Linked DNA regions of Saccharomyces cerevisiae S288C. The protein of the gene in region 3 purifies or fractionates together with the protein of the main gene of each other region. This does not show direct contact. Each region holds a gene or a part of one and is shown on either strand. Other genes may lie near its edges.

Evidence for each region.
Region 1: the proteins of YTM1 (region 3) and MAK21 purify together in Saccharomyces cerevisiae (affinity purification with mass spectrometry; 6 studies listed by BioGRID). This does not show direct contact.
Region 2: the proteins of YTM1 (region 3) and RPF2 purify together in Saccharomyces cerevisiae (affinity purification with mass spectrometry; 9 studies listed by BioGRID, with this or other methods). This does not show direct contact.
Region 4: the proteins of YTM1 (region 3) and NOP15 purify together in Saccharomyces cerevisiae (affinity purification with mass spectrometry; 5 studies listed by BioGRID). This does not show direct contact.

Annotation. Positions count from the first base shown.
Region 1 is NC_001136.10:568,686-574,257, reverse strand, and holds MAK21 (RNA-binding ribosome biosynthesis protein MAK21), read right to left. Parts: upstream 3,610-5,572; coding exon 532-3,609; downstream 1-531. Other genes in the region: YDR061W (uncharacterized protein), read right to left, coding at 1-94; E2 ubiquitin-conjugating protein UBC5, read left to right, coding at 4,488-4,534, 4,625-5,024; TGL2 (triglyceride lipase), read left to right, coding at 5,555-5,572.
Region 2 is NC_001143.9:591,006-594,165, forward strand, and holds RPF2 (rRNA-binding ribosome biosynthesis protein RPF2), read right to left. Parts: upstream 1,536-3,160; coding exon 501-1,535; downstream 1-500. Other genes in the region: MTD1 (methylenetetrahydrofolate dehydrogenase (NAD(+))), read left to right, coding at 1-352; NUP133 (Nup133p), read left to right, coding at 1,820-3,160. UniProt on the Saccharomyces cerevisiae protein: Required for biogenesis of the 60S ribosomal subunit.
Region 3 is NC_001147.6:830,811-834,766, reverse strand, and holds YTM1 (Ytm1p), read right to left. Parts: upstream 1,955-3,956; coding exon 572-1,954; downstream 1-571. Other genes in the region: TPO4 (Tpo4p), read left to right, coding at 1-315; FSF1 (Fsf1p), read left to right, coding at 2,725-3,708. UniProt on the Saccharomyces cerevisiae protein: Component of the NOP7 complex, which is required for maturation of the 25S and 5.8S ribosomal RNAs and formation of the 60S ribosome.
Region 4 is NC_001146.8:417,236-420,328, forward strand, and holds NOP15 (rRNA-binding ribosome biosynthesis protein NOP15), read right to left. Parts: upstream 1,254-3,093; coding exon 591-1,253; downstream 1-590. Other genes in the region: CYB5 (Cyb5p), read right to left, coding at 1-67; YNL108C (uncharacterized protein), read right to left, coding at 1,779-2,591; YEATS domain-containing protein YAF9, read left to right, coding at 2,863-3,093. UniProt on the Saccharomyces cerevisiae protein: Involved in the biogenesis of the 60S ribosomal subunit. Required for pre-rRNA processing and cytokinesis. Associates with the precursors of the 25S and 5.8S rRNAs.

The DNA.
Region 1 (5,572 bases), on a different chromosome or scaffold from region 3:
TAATCCTCTTAGGGTAAACAGGTGGACTGTTGCTAGCCAGTGATGACTTGAAGAGCGCATTCGTTATTCGTACAACGAACTTATTGGTACTCATAATTAAAAAATCTTTCACAGAATATTAATCAAGTATTCACAAATTTGTTTTGCTTACTGCAATTAGCTAACAGAAAATTGTCGCTACAAATGTGCCTATATAAACAAAATGGTTAAAAATGAGTTCTGGATTATTTATTTCTAATAGGAGTCACGTGGTTCCATCGTTTTTAGTTTCGTCTCACGATGTCAGCAATCTCGGCGATTTCAACTGACATAGTTGTAGCTAAAATCCGTTTCTATTTCCGCATTACTCTTTTTCCGTTTACTCCCGCTCTAATAATGTTGAAAAGCGGACATAAGTAGAGTTATCAGCAAAACTCTGATATGCGTCTTTCGCTTCAAGGTTTCGTATTGGACCGTTTTTTATTGTACAAAATTCTGTTTTCCTTATTTAATTTACAACACCGAAGTGTTTAGTTAATGTATTATTATTTTCTAGTCTGAATCTTGATCTAAATATTGAGCATAATCGTCGGCAGATGCAAATACCGGTAGACTTTTGAGCATATTCTTTCTCTGCTTCTTCTTTGCTCTTTTTGCGGATACCTCTTTATTTTCTTCTTCTTCTTTTTCTTCTTCGCTGCTCTCGTCCTCTTCACTACTTTCAGCGAAGGAACGTTTTTTATCACTATTGTCTTGTTCTCCATCGAAACTGTAAAAAATATCCTCATCGAGGCCTTCTTCTTGATCGCTTTCTTGGCTGCCTTCACTTTTAGCATCTTCATCATCAATTGCGTCCAGCTTAGGTTCATCGTCACTAGTTGAATCGCTGAAATCATCTTCAGCGAAGTCAAGTTCACTGTCGTCGCTATCATCTTCAACATCTGGTCTCGATTTAACCAAAGCACTCCAAATTTCATTTTCATCCATTTCGTCATCACTATCGAAATTAGATGCTTTGTTAGATTTCTTTCCTTTTCCATCAGCGGTTTTCTTGGTAGTGAAATATTGATAAAAGAATTTATCTTCAGGTTTGATATCTTCAACTTTTTTAGTTAGCCAGTCTTCAGTGTTCACGGGACCCTGGTCATGCATAATATCAGATGCCTTAACTAAGACAGAGTCATTAACTCGTGAGCCACTAAACAGAGGTTGCATAATAGATGTACCTCTTGCTGTATTGGTCTGCTTGGCACTTCTGTAGACAAATCTGTCAAGGAAGTGTGATAGAGTAAATAGACCCAGGTCTGGTTTAGCTATTTGCTCTGTTTCTCCTGTCACATAGGCGTTTGCATATGTTTTCACAGTAGGATGAAAATGATTGATGAAGTTGTTGATTTCCCATAAAGAAGATTTTTCAGCATTGGCGAACTTTGGATCACGCTTGCGGCCGTCGTATTCCTTCCTTTTTATGTCCTTGTCCCCTTGCTCCTCTTCTGCATCAGATTCATACTCGTAATCAACTGGCGTGTTGGTTAGAAGATTTTTTATTTGTGGAACTGTTTTAGCCAACTGGATTAATAAGAAGAAAAAACCAGTAATGGTGCCGACGTTCAACCAATGAGAACAAACTTGAAGAATTCTCTTGACAAAGGCTTCTACTCGTTCAACGTTGAGTGCATCTTGTTTTAATGATTTGTATAGTAAATTCAAGTAAATACCCTGCTTAGAAGAGTTCACCAGTCTGGGGTCAAATAAACTTTCGTATAATGTTCTATAATATCGATCACTGTTCAACTTTGCTTTGACGGTGACTTGATTAATCAAAACTAATGCTTGGATTGAGGTGTTAAAGTTAGAGGAGTGTGTGATTTTGAAAAGAGTTTCCATATGTACTTCATAGACAGACGCTGGAATCTGAGCGAATGGGAATGCACGATTGATACCTGTTAACAAAGCACTGAATAATTTTGAGTTCTTTTCATCTAAAACTTCATTTTCCGTTTTTTCGATTTTTACAGATTTACCACCGTGTTTACCCTTTTTAAAGTTCTTCTTTCTTTTCTCCTCATACGACTTTGAGTTACTCTTAACAACGCCATTGGTATTGTCTTTATCAGTATTAATCAAGAATTTTTCAAACAAAGTGAAGTATGTTTTTACTAATTTATTAGCAACAGAGTCTTCTGATCTTTTTAAGATGGTTTGGTTTAAAGTAATAACAGAATAGTAAGTGGTATGATAATCCGCATTCGGTCTCAATGCGATATCAACGATAGCATCAATGACAATAGATTTCATATTCGGATGAGCTTGTTCCAACTTCAGTAGTAAATATGACGCCTTCGAAGAAACTTTGGAATCAATATCACCAATTTTATTTACACCTAATCTCAATAAATTAAATTCCTGCTCTGGTTGGTTGGTCAATAAATCAAATACATGATTTAATATTTGTAATCTAACGTGAATAATTGGATCGTGGGAAAGCACTTCCAAGACTTCTAAAACACGAAAGAACAGTTTCTTTAAATAATCTTCGAAATAGAAAATTGCAAGAGTTTTCTTGTTTAGCATCATAGATAAGCCAGGTTGATTTTTGAAATACCTCAGCTTTCTGTTGGGCAAAAGACCATTTAAGAATAAATCCTTCAAAGCGTTTAAACTCTGTAAAGCAGAGTTTCTCGATTTTTTGCCACAATATGAAACCAGAGTTTCTAAAGACTTAGTGTTATGCAATGGCGAATCTTGAATGAGTAAAGTTACGGCAGATATTTTATCGTTGAGGGTACCGTCCGATAGGATTTGGGACATGAACTTGGCCTGCGATGAGTCCTTTGTAAACTCCTCATAGTAAGTTTGGTTGTCAGCTTCTAGCGTTTGCTTACCTCTTTCAAAAAGTTTCTCAATCTGTTCCTTGGATAATTCTTCAACATCATCATTTTGTCCAACTTGAGGATCCAATGGAATTTCATACCATGGTTTATCGTAAGGAATAATAAGTTTGTCAGATGAGATAATAGTAGTTTGAGTAATTAAACCTCCATCTTTCTCCTCTTTCTTTTCTTTCTCTGCAGATTCTGATTCTGGCTCTTGGTCTGAACTAAGATTAGCCTCTTCTACTGTGTTTTCTTCTTGTTCACTGCCATTATCGATTGACTCTTGGGAGGTTTTCTCTATTGTCGATGATGCAATGTTTGATTGTGCATGTTCCTTCTCTTGAGCGGGTATTTTAGATTCTTTGGAGCTAGTGGATTCTTCTTCTATATCGTCATCGTCTACATCTTCGAGTTTGTGTTGGTCAAATCCTACATTCTTCATGAAATTTTGAAGATCGTTCTTGAATCCCTTGTCGTCAGCATCCTCGTCAGCGACGGCATCAAATTCCTGTTCGCTCTTAGCGTCATCATCATCGCTTAATCCTTGAATCAATTTTAGATCTTCTTCGCTGGCACCCAATGCTAGTGCTTCACGACGTATGTCCTCATTTACCTTCTTTGAATTACTACTGGCCTTCACGTCCTTGCCTTTGTGGGTTTTCTTCGCCTTTTTGCTGTTATTGTCTCGCAATTTTGACGAAATCTTATTTCTTAGTGAAGACAAATCCAGCGGATTGCCGTTGTTCTCACTCATTATTTTTGATTACTGTACCAACAAAGACACTGGAGAGGTTTAATATCTATAGAAATTTATCAAACTATAGAATTTCGCTTCCGATGTGTACGACATAATGCTTTCTTATTCGCAACTCCATTACTTTGGCATCTCTGATAATTTTTTACCTCATCGCCAAAAGAAAAAATTTTTCATTCTGCAACGGGTAACGGAATACAGAGGCAAGAGAACGGAAGAACATCATATCGGCGGTTATTACTAAACAGTATATGTCCAATCGGTTTTGGAAATGAGATTTTCTTATTAATGATCTGATCTTAGATTATGTTGGGCAATACGCGTTATACAAAAGATCTGCTATTGCATGTGGTGAAAGTTATACCAACATTTTTGCTTATATGAAATCATCTGCAACAACCAATTGGATAAGGATAGATTTCTCAAATATATTAAATTATGTCTTGGTTTACTTACACAGAAAGTCCCAAAGTACAGATGAATTATACTAGGGTTGTGTTCATTGTTCCATGAGAGGCTGTACTTTTTGCCTACTTATTTTGGTACTCATTCATTAGGCTCATAAACCGATTTTTCTTATATTGTGCGTAATTCAATTAGATATCTAGATGTATTGCTAGTGCTAGTACGGTGTAAACTCTCGTAGCAAGCGCTTTTGAAGCATGGCTGTGGTGGAGGTAGTTGCCACTGCGAGCGGGTAATAAAGCGGCTGCCGCCTTACTCATTTGTACCAAAGATAGCCGACCCAAAATTATAAAAAATAATTGTATCCCGGATTTTAATAGATGGTTGGAGTTTTATTTTCCAAGGTCAGGACTGCTTATTGACTACCATCTTGAAAAGTCATTTTCTGCTCACCACCCTCAACTAAACTAAAAATGTCTTCCTCCAAGCGTATTGCCAAGGAATTAAGTGATTTAGGGAGGTATGTTAAAAATAAAATGAATGATTTTTCTTGATCTGTAAAGAAAAAGGATTACTAACATGAGTTTCTTTTTTGAACTTTTTTCCGAAGAGATCCTCCTGCTTCATGTTCAGCAGGACCTGTAGGGGATGACCTGTATCATTGGCAAGCCTCTATTATGGGTCCTTCAGACTCACCCTACGCTGGTGGCGTTTTCTTTTTGTCTATTCACTTTCCAACTGATTATCCATTCAAGCCACCGAAGGTAAACTTTACGACCAAAATTTATCATCCGAATATTAATTCGAGTGGTAATATCTGCCTTGATATTTTAAAGGACCAGTGGTCACCGGCGCTAACCCTTTCAAAAGTTTTGTTGTCTATTTGCTCTCTTTTAACAGATGCTAATCCCGACGATCCTTTGGTCCCTGAAATTGCTCAAATCTACAAGACAGATAAGGCTAAGTATGAAGCCACCGCTAAGGAGTGGACTAAAAAATATGCTGTTTGATTAATTTGGGCTAACGGATAAATTGTGTAGACTTACCTTCCTCAGCGCACACATCAATATATTATATATTCTTTACGTATACAAACACGCAAATTCTTATAGGTATAGCGATATTAGTTTGATCAATTCCCATCACGTACCTTGCTTTCTATTATTTACTCTTTCTCCTGTACCTGCTACTATCAATTAAAAAAAATTCTCCGCGACGGGGAATTGAACCCCGATCTGGCACGCGACAAGCGCCCATTCTGACCATTAAACTATCACGGAAGAAACAAAGCACTCACGATGGGGGTCGAACCCATAATCTTCTGATTAGAAGTCAGACGCGTTGCCATTACGCCACGCGAGCTACTATTTGTCGGAAAAACATTCTGATTCATCTAGCTAAATGATTGTTTAAAATATGCTAAATTTCTCACCAACCTTTTCTCATAATGAGCCTAATATGAACCGCTATTGAAAATATGTACAAGGAAGAATATAGAGAATAAAGCGTCTTGTTTTAAAGGAGGAAAAGCATAAAAAAAATGAAAAATGATAATAAA
Region 2 (3,160 bases), on a different chromosome or scaffold from region 3:
ATACTCTGTGGACGTTAACAACATTCAAAAATTCACCCGTGGTGAAAGTTTGAAATTAAACAAGCATCATGTGGAAGACCTTGGGGAGTACTCTGAAGATCTGTTGAAAAAGTGTTCTCTTGATTCAGATGTGGTCATCACTGGTGTCCCTAGTGAAAATTACAAATTCCCCACCGAATACATCAAAGAAGGTGCCGTCTGCATCAATTTTGCATGCACCAAAAATTTTAGCGATGATGTCAAGGAAAAAGCTTCTCTTTACGTTCCAATGACTGGTAAAGTTACCATTGCAATGTTGTTGAGAAACATGTTACGTTTAGTAAGGAACGTAGAACTGTCTAAAGAAAAATAGAACATTTGTGGCTGTTCAAATAAGCATAGGTAAAACAGAATACATAAAAATAAGGGAAAAAAAGAAAGATCATTTGTAATGTACTTACTACATACATATAGAATTCTCCTCTCTTAGATTATCATATAATATACAAAGTTTATGGGTCTTATTTCTTCTGTCTTTTAGCAGAGGGCTCAATATCAGTGGCACTGACGAACTCTTCTTCGTATTCTTGTCCATCATCCGAATACGACGCTTCATCTTCGTAGTCTTCATCTACCTCTCCATCACCTTCTTCAGTTCCTTGGTCGAATTTGGATTTCAAACCCTTCATCTTTCTTGTTTGTAGTTTACCCAAATCTTGTTTGCCCATATGGATTCTACCCAATTTATCACCCATGATATCTAATTCTACATTCTTCTTTGTCTTCATTTCTAATTGTTTTGGCTTCTTGTGAGCTTCAGTGACCATATCTGGACTTGGAGTATGAATTCTGCCGATTTTGAAATCTAGACGTGGCCCAATCTCCACCAATTCAATACGTGGTAATCTCTTACCACCTTGGTCGCTTTTATAACTTTTTAATTTGTAAACACGGAATAGAACGTTCGGCAATGGCTCACCATCTTGGAAGTCACCTTGAATGGTCATGGAAATGACATGTTGTAATCCCGCAACATCCTGTAAATCAGTAGATTCGCCTCTAAAGAAATCTAAAAACAAAGATTTAATTTGCTTGTATACGGGATGTGTATCAAATGCAGCACCTTGGAATGTAAACATAGGCTTCAACCCTACAGTAAATGTTAATTTCTTAAAATCAGATAACAACTTGAAATTATCTGCAACCATTAGTTCAATCATATCATATATTTTGTAGCCAAATGTACGTATAAAGGTCATGTTGTTTTTACGCTTTTTGGAACTTGTCATCAGCACCATCAATGAACAGTCATTCTTTTCACTAAAGAACTCTAGTGGCGACATGTCTTCGAAAGGATGAATATCATTCTTACGATTGAACCTCTTCATATCTGGCTTCTTCAAGGCACTCAAATCTACCATAATATCGTGCAGATTCTTGTTACAGCTTTGCCCTGGAATGAATAGCGCTTGCTTGACATTCTCTACCAACTTAGCTTCCCTCTTTACCAAAGCTCTCTTGGCTCTTGCATTCTTGGGTTTTACGGTTCTAATCATTTTTTCTGCCAGTGTTCTCCTGCGCTTTTGGATATGATAACTTCAATACAACTCATCGATATACCAAATCACTTTCCAATAATGCATTACACTATAAGAAAATTCGATCCTTAGCTCATCGCAAAAAAATGAAAAATTTTCAAATCGTATAAAACGATATATTTGAGGATTTAGGAATCAAAATAGCAGAATAAACCAAAACATACACCATTTAGGAATAAGGTTTAGAGGAGCTCGAGCATACTGTTACATCCAATTCAAGTGAAGTACATTAGGATAGCCATATGAGTGAAAAAAAAGTACATCTTCGTTTGCGGAAGGAACTTAGCGTACCCATTGCGGTGGTTGAAAACGAATCCCTGGCGCAGTTGTCTTATGAAGAGGAAAGCCAGGCCTCTCTAATGGACATTTCCATGGAGCAGCAACAGTTAAGGTTACATTCGCACTTTGATAATTCCAAGGTTTTCACAGAAAATAACAGATACATAGTAAAAACCCTTCAAACAGACTACAGTAGCGGATTCAGTAACGATGACGAATTGAATGGATATATCGATATGCAAATTGGATATGGACTAGTCAATGACCACAAGAAGGTTTACATCTGGAATATTCACTCCACTCAAAAGGATACGCCCTATATAACTGTACCATTTCGTTCTGATGATAATGATGAAATAGCAGTCGCGCCCAGGTGCATACTAACTTTCCCTGCTACAATGGATGAGTCTCCATTAGCACTGAATCCTAATGATCAGGACGAAACCGGAGGGCTTATCATTATCAAAGGTAGCAAAGCGATATATTATGAGGATATCAACTCCATAAATAATTTGAACTTTAAGTTATCTGAAAAATTCTCTCACGAGTTAGAATTACCCATCAACTCTTCGGGCGGAGAGAAGTGTGACCTAATGTTAAACTGCGAACCTGCTGGTATAGTGCTTTCTACAAATATGGGCAGAATATTTTTTATAACCATTAGAAATTCCATGGGTAAACCTCAACTGAAGTTAGGCAAACTATTAAATAAACCTTTCAAATTGGGTATCTGGTCCAAAATTTTCAATACAAACAGTTCAGTTGTCTCATTACGAAATGGACCTATCCTCGGTAAGGGGACAAGGTTAGTATATATTACTACTAACAAAGGAATTTTTCAAACATGGCAGTTGTCTGCCACGAATTCCCATCCAACAAAATTGATTGATGTAAACATTTACGAAGCCATTTTAGAGTCGCTCCAGGATTTGTATCCATTTGCTCATGGTACGTTGAAGATTTGGGACTCTCATCCATTACAAGATGAAAGTTCACAACTTTTCCTGTCATCTATTTACGACAGTTCATGCAATGAAACATATTATATTCTTTCCACGATTATCTTCGATTCTTCTTCTAATAGTTTTACTATTTTTTCCACTTATAGATTGAACACTTTTATGGAGTCAATAACCGACACAAAGTTTAAGCCTAAGATATTTATACCTCAGATGGAGAATGCTAACGATACCAATGAGGTAACTTCCATTTTGGTAATGTTCCCCAATGCTGTTGTCATTACTCAGGTGAACTCAAAATTGGACTCTAGCTATTCAATGAGAAGAAAGTGGGAAGATATTGTT
Region 3 (3,956 bases):
ATGGAAAAGGAGGCTGAGACCGAAGGTGGTATAGATGACGTAAATGCTGTCGATGGTGAATTGAATCTAACAAGGATGACCACGTTAAGGACCATGGAAACAGACCCTTCGACTAGAGAAAAACCAGGTGAAAGGCTATCTCTGCGCAGGACCCATACGCAGCCCGTTCCTGCCTCGTTTGATCGCGAGGACGGGCAACATGCGCAAAATCGTAATGAACCCATTTCCAATAGTTTATACTCAGCTATCAAGGATAATGAAGACGGTTATTCGTATACGGAAATGGCCACCGATGCTTCCGCCAGAATGGTTTGAAAAGGTCTTAAGACAGATCACAATTGCATATATTCAAATAGTAAATTGGGGGATAGCTGGATAAAATTCACCAATTTAAATTTATAGAAGTTTCATACAAGTACACATTATCATAGAAGTATTTTTTTTTTTAGCAAGTAATGTCGTTTTACATAAAGAAGAAGGTGACAGAAATTTGCGAAAGCTGTTGGCAAAACCAAATTTATTTCAAGTATATCAGTACATTATTCTACATAAAAACAACAACAGTTTTTTCTCAGTTTTTGAAAATGTTGTCTCCTTTATTTATTTGAATCTTTTTGTCTTGACCAGCGCTGATAATACCCACTTTTTCAGCCCATTTGACAGCAAAAACTTTGTCATTGACGCCCTTTTGGACCGATTTGTCTTCTCTTGTTATGGTGTACATCGGAGAAGTAGACCTGACGTCCCATACCTTCACGGTACCATCGTGAGAACCCGAGCATAATATATACTCATTCTCGGGACAAGTGTCCAGAGAGGAAACGAAGTTCTTATGACCAATTAGTTGTTGCTGAGTAACTTTGGAAGACGCTCCCACACGTGGGTCATGCAATGTGATGTGTCTGGCGCTGGACCCACATGCTAACAAGTTCAAAGTCGACAATTGAGCAATGGAAAGCAACGAGTACGATGTTGTTCTTGTATCTATACATCTCGCGGTGACCAAATCCCATGTCTTGATGGTATGATCTTGTGATACTGAATAACCAACGGTATTATCTGTAGAATCGAAGATCACTTGCTCAACAGGAGCTGTATGGGATTCTAACAGAGACAGAGGGGCACGTCTTCTAATGGTACCATCTTTCATTGTCAATTTTCTCCTTTTTCTAGCAGCAGTGGATATTTTATTGTTTGGATTGTTTATATCTTCTAATGGATCAACAACTGTCATTTCCTTATAAATAGTAGACCAGAACCCAATAGAATTGTCGTATGATGCAGATAATATTCTTGAGTTGTCTGAAACATCAATAGAGACTACTGGTGCCTTATGACCTTCCAAGATAGCCAGTGTCTTACCGTCCTCTATGTTTACTTCGTCATCATCGTCTTCCTGTGCCTGTTGTTGTGAAGTTAATTTCAAATCATCGTTTTTGGTTTTCCATAATCTCAAAGTACGGTCGTTACCAGCCGAAACTAGCCTTGTATTGGAAATGTATTTTACTGCACGGATTGGGCCAGAATGACCACTGTACTGCTTTTGCACATTACCTGATAAATCCCAGGTGCGAACTATACCATCGTAAGAACCACTAATAATATGCTTGGAACCGTCGCCGACATCCAATGAGCTAACCCAGTCCTCATTGCTGAAACTATTCAAATAGGATGGTGGAAGAATTGCCCTGGTATATTCTACATTCAGCGAGGCTTCGCTCGATAAACCTTTCTTGGTCAAATAGTCGTGCAATGAAGTACGTAACAATTCACCTTCAATCAAGAAATCGAAAGGAACAGGCTTTTCCGAGCCCAACAAGTGATTGACAATTTCGGACAACCCATATCTCTTTAATGAGATGGGGGCGTACATTGGAGTATCTTGTACATGTAGTAATTCATCTTTCTCACGCGTGAAAAACCTGATTTTAACCTGCGATTTATCTTCTGTCATATTGAATTTGTGCAGTTTCCCTTGGTATTGTCTTTAAAACTTTAGGTAACGTATTGGTTCTGCGAACATAGAATATGTCTTTTTGCAATTATACAGATGAGCATATGCCTTTCACTGCTCCTACGGTTTGCGATGAGATGAGCACTTCAGAAAATTTTTGAAAAATTTTTGAAGTACTGGCCGGGTAACAGAAAACTGTCAAACCCTCTTGTGCAAGAAATAAGCTAAAGTTCTCCCTAAGAATAAAATAGTAAAGGAAGCTATTGCTACAGATAAATATAAATGAATGAAAGATATCTCACTCGCGCAGCTACCGATCTGGGCCAATGGGAGACACTAAAAGAAGCACCTGTGAGAAGCGCCCAGAACAGTATGAGGACGCTCATGAGTGTGGGAGTTGCTCTAGCTCTTCTTTTCCCCTCTGATCACCTACGGATGTAAGATGGCACAGTGAATAGAAGGCATGTTTAATATGTATCATGCCTTCTTCGGAACCGAAAATCAAAGATAACTAAAAAATGAAAGAAGAGTAATACTAGAAAAATGATCGCTGCCTCGGCGCTTTTTATACCAATGGTGCCCGAGACGAACGAAAAGTTTTTCTTTCGTACTGGCGTCCGGTACCGGAGCGTACCAGATTGAGGTAATTGGATAAGAGACTGTTAGGTCTTCGCATCAGCTTTACAGTTTTCAAAGGCGTCGACCACTGCAAGTTAGCAATAATAAAACCACACAGCATCGAAAGAAAAAAATAAACAAGGCAGAGAAATATGGCATCATCAGTCCCAGGGCCCATCGATTTGCCCGAATCCCGCTATGACTTATCCACGTATTGGGGTAGAATCCGCCATTGCGCAGAGATTTCCGACCCCACTATGTTGTTAACTACTGAGAAGGACCTGGCGCATGCTAGAGAAATCATCAGTGCGTATCGTCACGGTGAACTAAAAGAGACTACTCCGGAGTTCTGGCGAGCCAAGAAACAACTGGACTCCACCGTGCATCCGGACACAGGGAAGACAGTTCTTTTGCCCTTCCGTATGTCTTCCAACGTGCTATCAAACCTAGTCGTTACTGTAGGTATGCTGACGCCTGGTTTGGGTACGGCAGGGACTGTATTTTGGCAATGGGCAAATCAATCGCTAAACGTCGCCGTTAATTCCGCTAACGCAAACAAATCTCATCCTATGTCCACGTCCCAATTGCTCACCAATTACGCTGCCGCTGTAACTGCGTCGTGTGGTGTTGCGTTAGGTCTAAATAACCTAGTTCCCAGGTTGAAAAACATTTCTCCACATTCAAAGTTGATCTTGGGCCGTTTGGTGCCATTTGCCGCCGTGGTCAGTGCCGGTATTGTCAACGTCTTCCTAATGAGAGGCAACGAAATTAGAAAGGGTATTTCTGTGTTTGACTCTAACGGTGACGAAGTCGGAAAGTCCAAGAAGGCTGCCTTCATGGCAGTTGGTGAAACTGCATTAAGTAGAGTGATTAACGCCACTCCAACTATGGTCATCCCACCTTTGATTTTGGTTAGACTACAACGCGGTGTCCTCAAAGGTAAGTCTCTCGGTGTGCAAACTTTGGCCAATTTGGGGTTGATCTCAGTCACAATGTTCTCAGCTTTGCCATTTGCACTCGGTATCTTCCCTCAAAGACAAGCAATCCATTTAAATAAACTAGAACCTGAACTACATGGCAAGAAGGATAAGGATGGGAAGCCAATTGAAAAGGTCTATTTTAACAGAGGTATTTAGAAGTGAAGAGACAAATTTATATAGTTATAGAATAAATATCAGATAGATAAGAAAAAAAAATTAGTTAAACATTAATATATATATATGTGTAGTGACTGACATACGTATGACTGCTAGTAATCCAGTTGCCGAGCTATTGTTGCAGATTGAAATGTCATCACGTGGACATTATATCATCATTAACGACTAATGCGTCAAAAAAAAAATGGGCTAAAAAAAAAAAAAGCAAAAAAAAGAAACTCAGATAA
Region 4 (3,093 bases), on a different chromosome or scaffold from region 3:
TGATAATCCAGAAATTTTCTGGGCCATTGTGTTCGGCAACTTCTTGGTAACTGTAAACTTTAGGCATGATTGTTTGATATTTTATGTTGTAGTTGATTGATTTTCTTTACTATGAAGAAAATGAAAATCGAATTTAAATATTAACGAGGAAGCCTGAACGAAAATTTTTGAGAAAGTTTCAAAAGCTTCTTGTTCTTTATATAGTTATTGGAAAAAGGACAATATATATATTTGTTATTTATTGATATAATAACAATGCTTCTCAAATATCGCTTTTTGGCCACGAATGCGACAAAAATTTTCTCGTTATGCTAACCTCTCTCACTATCTCGATCTCGTATAGCTTTCTTTTTTGCAGCTATTGTTCTTTTTCTGGGCCGTTAAATTTTTCATCCGGAAACTCCAGGCTATTACCCGCTCCGTGATTTTGGTCGTTGAATCTTCGTAAAAGCAATCATGTAAATATCATTGAATACGGACAAACGGAACTATATTGCTGGAATTAATGATATAAATGGTTTCCCAAGTTTGCTATATCTCCTATTCTATCTTACAAAACCCTTTTCTCAGGGTGGATGAGAAGTGACAAGTCACCATTTGAATTCGATACCTGACTTGGCTAATTTTTTTATCCTTTCTTCATGTTTTTGCTTCATGTTATCCTTTAGCTGTTTTACTGGTTTGGTGATACCTTTCTCTACTAGAACTCTCTTCTTGTATTTGTACAATTTCTCGATTTTAGCTCCTTTTGGTAATACACGCACTTGTAGTAGATGACCCATCAACAAGTAATTGTTCATAGATTCTTGGGCGATCATTGCATCCTCTTTATTAACGAATTCTAAGAAGCCATAATGTCTGGAATTTCCAGTTTTCTTATTACGTGCTAATCTCACTTCTTTTAAATCACCGAATTGAGCAAAATATTTACTTAATTCCTTTTCGTGGAACCCATGTGGCAGTCTACTCACATAAATAATCCCAGAATACTCTTCAAGTGTCTTTTTATCTTTCGACTTTTTTTCATTAGCCTGCTTCTTAGGATTCAATCTTTTAATCTTGTGTGTACCGCTCTGCTCATCATCAGAAGCGGCTAAACCTTCAATTTCATCTTCATCTTTTTCGTCTTCTTCATCTGAACTGCTAGACGATGTTTCTAGAGCCAACTCTTCTTTCTCCTGTATAGGTTTTTCTTCGGTGGGTTGTTTGGTTACTGTTTCCTTGGTGGAAGTTTTGCTTGTTGACTTTACCATATCGATCTCTTTCCTCTGTTATTTTATCTCTAGAACTTAACCCTATAGAAAAGGTAGTTAATGAAGTTAAAAGTAATGGTAATCGTCTTCAAATTAAGTGATGAGATGAGATGCGATGCACTACTTCATTTTTTCTTATGGCGGAAAATTTTTCATAGTGAAAAGAAACAGGCAAAATCTGGGGGGTAACCGCATACGTCTCTGCTATGCCGTCTGTAATGAGGATGCTAAAGTTGCAATAGCTGCTATGCACATTAGAAAGGGTTTAGCAGGATAATGAGTTTTCAGAGATAGCACAAAACTCGAAAGGTTTCGGTACTACTACCTAGACAGCTCATCTTTCAATCGTTGAACCTTGAATTTTGAAGTTTAGGGATATTAAAAGATACTGTTAATTCTATCAATTTACACTAGACTTTGACATATGTATATATATATATATATTCACACAGCTTCATCATGAAATAAAAATCAAATGCAGAAGTGTATAATGAGAAGTACAGAATTCAAGACTCACTTTAGTTTTCACTCCATTTTTAGTTTTCCGCTCTCAGCTGCTCTTCTCGCTTTGATATCAGCGTCTGAACCAGCCTCAAAGGCATTCATAAACGTCCAATTCATTTCTTCCCCATTAGTTAAAAAGGAGGTGTTGCCATTCATTGTAAGTTTCCACTCTCTCTCTTCAAATGGTATACTTTCATTTTCTCCTTTCACCAGCTCAAATTTATCAATAGCACAACTTCCATTTCTTATAAAGGTGCCTTTGTTATCAATGGGCTCTTTGGCACTGGAGAATTTCAACAAGTTCATACCAAGAGCGGATTTAGTGGCTGCGTGGGTAACTATCATAATGGTCTTTACATTTGGAAATTTTCTCTCCACTCTGTCAATAAAGACAGGCCAGAATTTATGGCACCTCTCAAAAATATCTTCTTCTGTTTCACCCTTATTACTAGGAATAATACTAGGTTCCCAGTCTGGAGAGATCATGCTTGGAAAAAACTTACTCATAACTTCATGAGTAGCAGGCTCCGGGATAATGGGTCTATCAGGCTTATACCATTCTCCTACACCACGATCGACATATAATGGAATCTTTAAAGCCTCCACTGTGGGTTTACTAGTTTCTAAACAGCGGTAAAATGGGGAGGAGAAAATCATTTCTGGTTTGACATCTAATTTAGAGATATAGTTCGCCAGTTCATGTGCCTGTTCAACACCGTGTTCCGAAAGCGGGACATCGTTATCAATACCGGTGGGCGGTGGTGGATATGGTCCCTTTGGTAGCCAGTTTGACCTGTAACCATGTCTGGCAATGTATATATTTTCGATAGCCATAATTTATAGCACTATTTTAACCTCTTGTACAACTAATTGAACGTCTTACATATTGAACGAAACTGCTTTACTTCTAGGATTGTTTTCAAAGCTTTTTTATAAATTTCGAAATATCCGCTATTCGGATGACGTGATGACGCTTCGGCACCATTGATTATTTTTCCAGAGTTTAGATGTCTTCTATGTGCAACTGAACAAGTAGCCTTCGAAAGCTAGAGGGATAGATACATTACTTGTGACCACCTATTTACGGCATCACAAAGAAAGCGAGATGGCTCCGACAATAAGCAAAAGGATAAAAACTCTCTCCGTGAGCAGACCAATAATATATGGCAATACGGCTAAAAAGATGGGTAGCGTTAAACCACCAAATGCTCCTGCCGAACATACTCATTTATGGACAATTTTTGTCAGGGGCCCACAAAATGAAGATATATCGTACTTTATCAAGAAAGTCGTTTTTAAACTTCATGACACCTACCCAAACCCTGTGAGATCCATA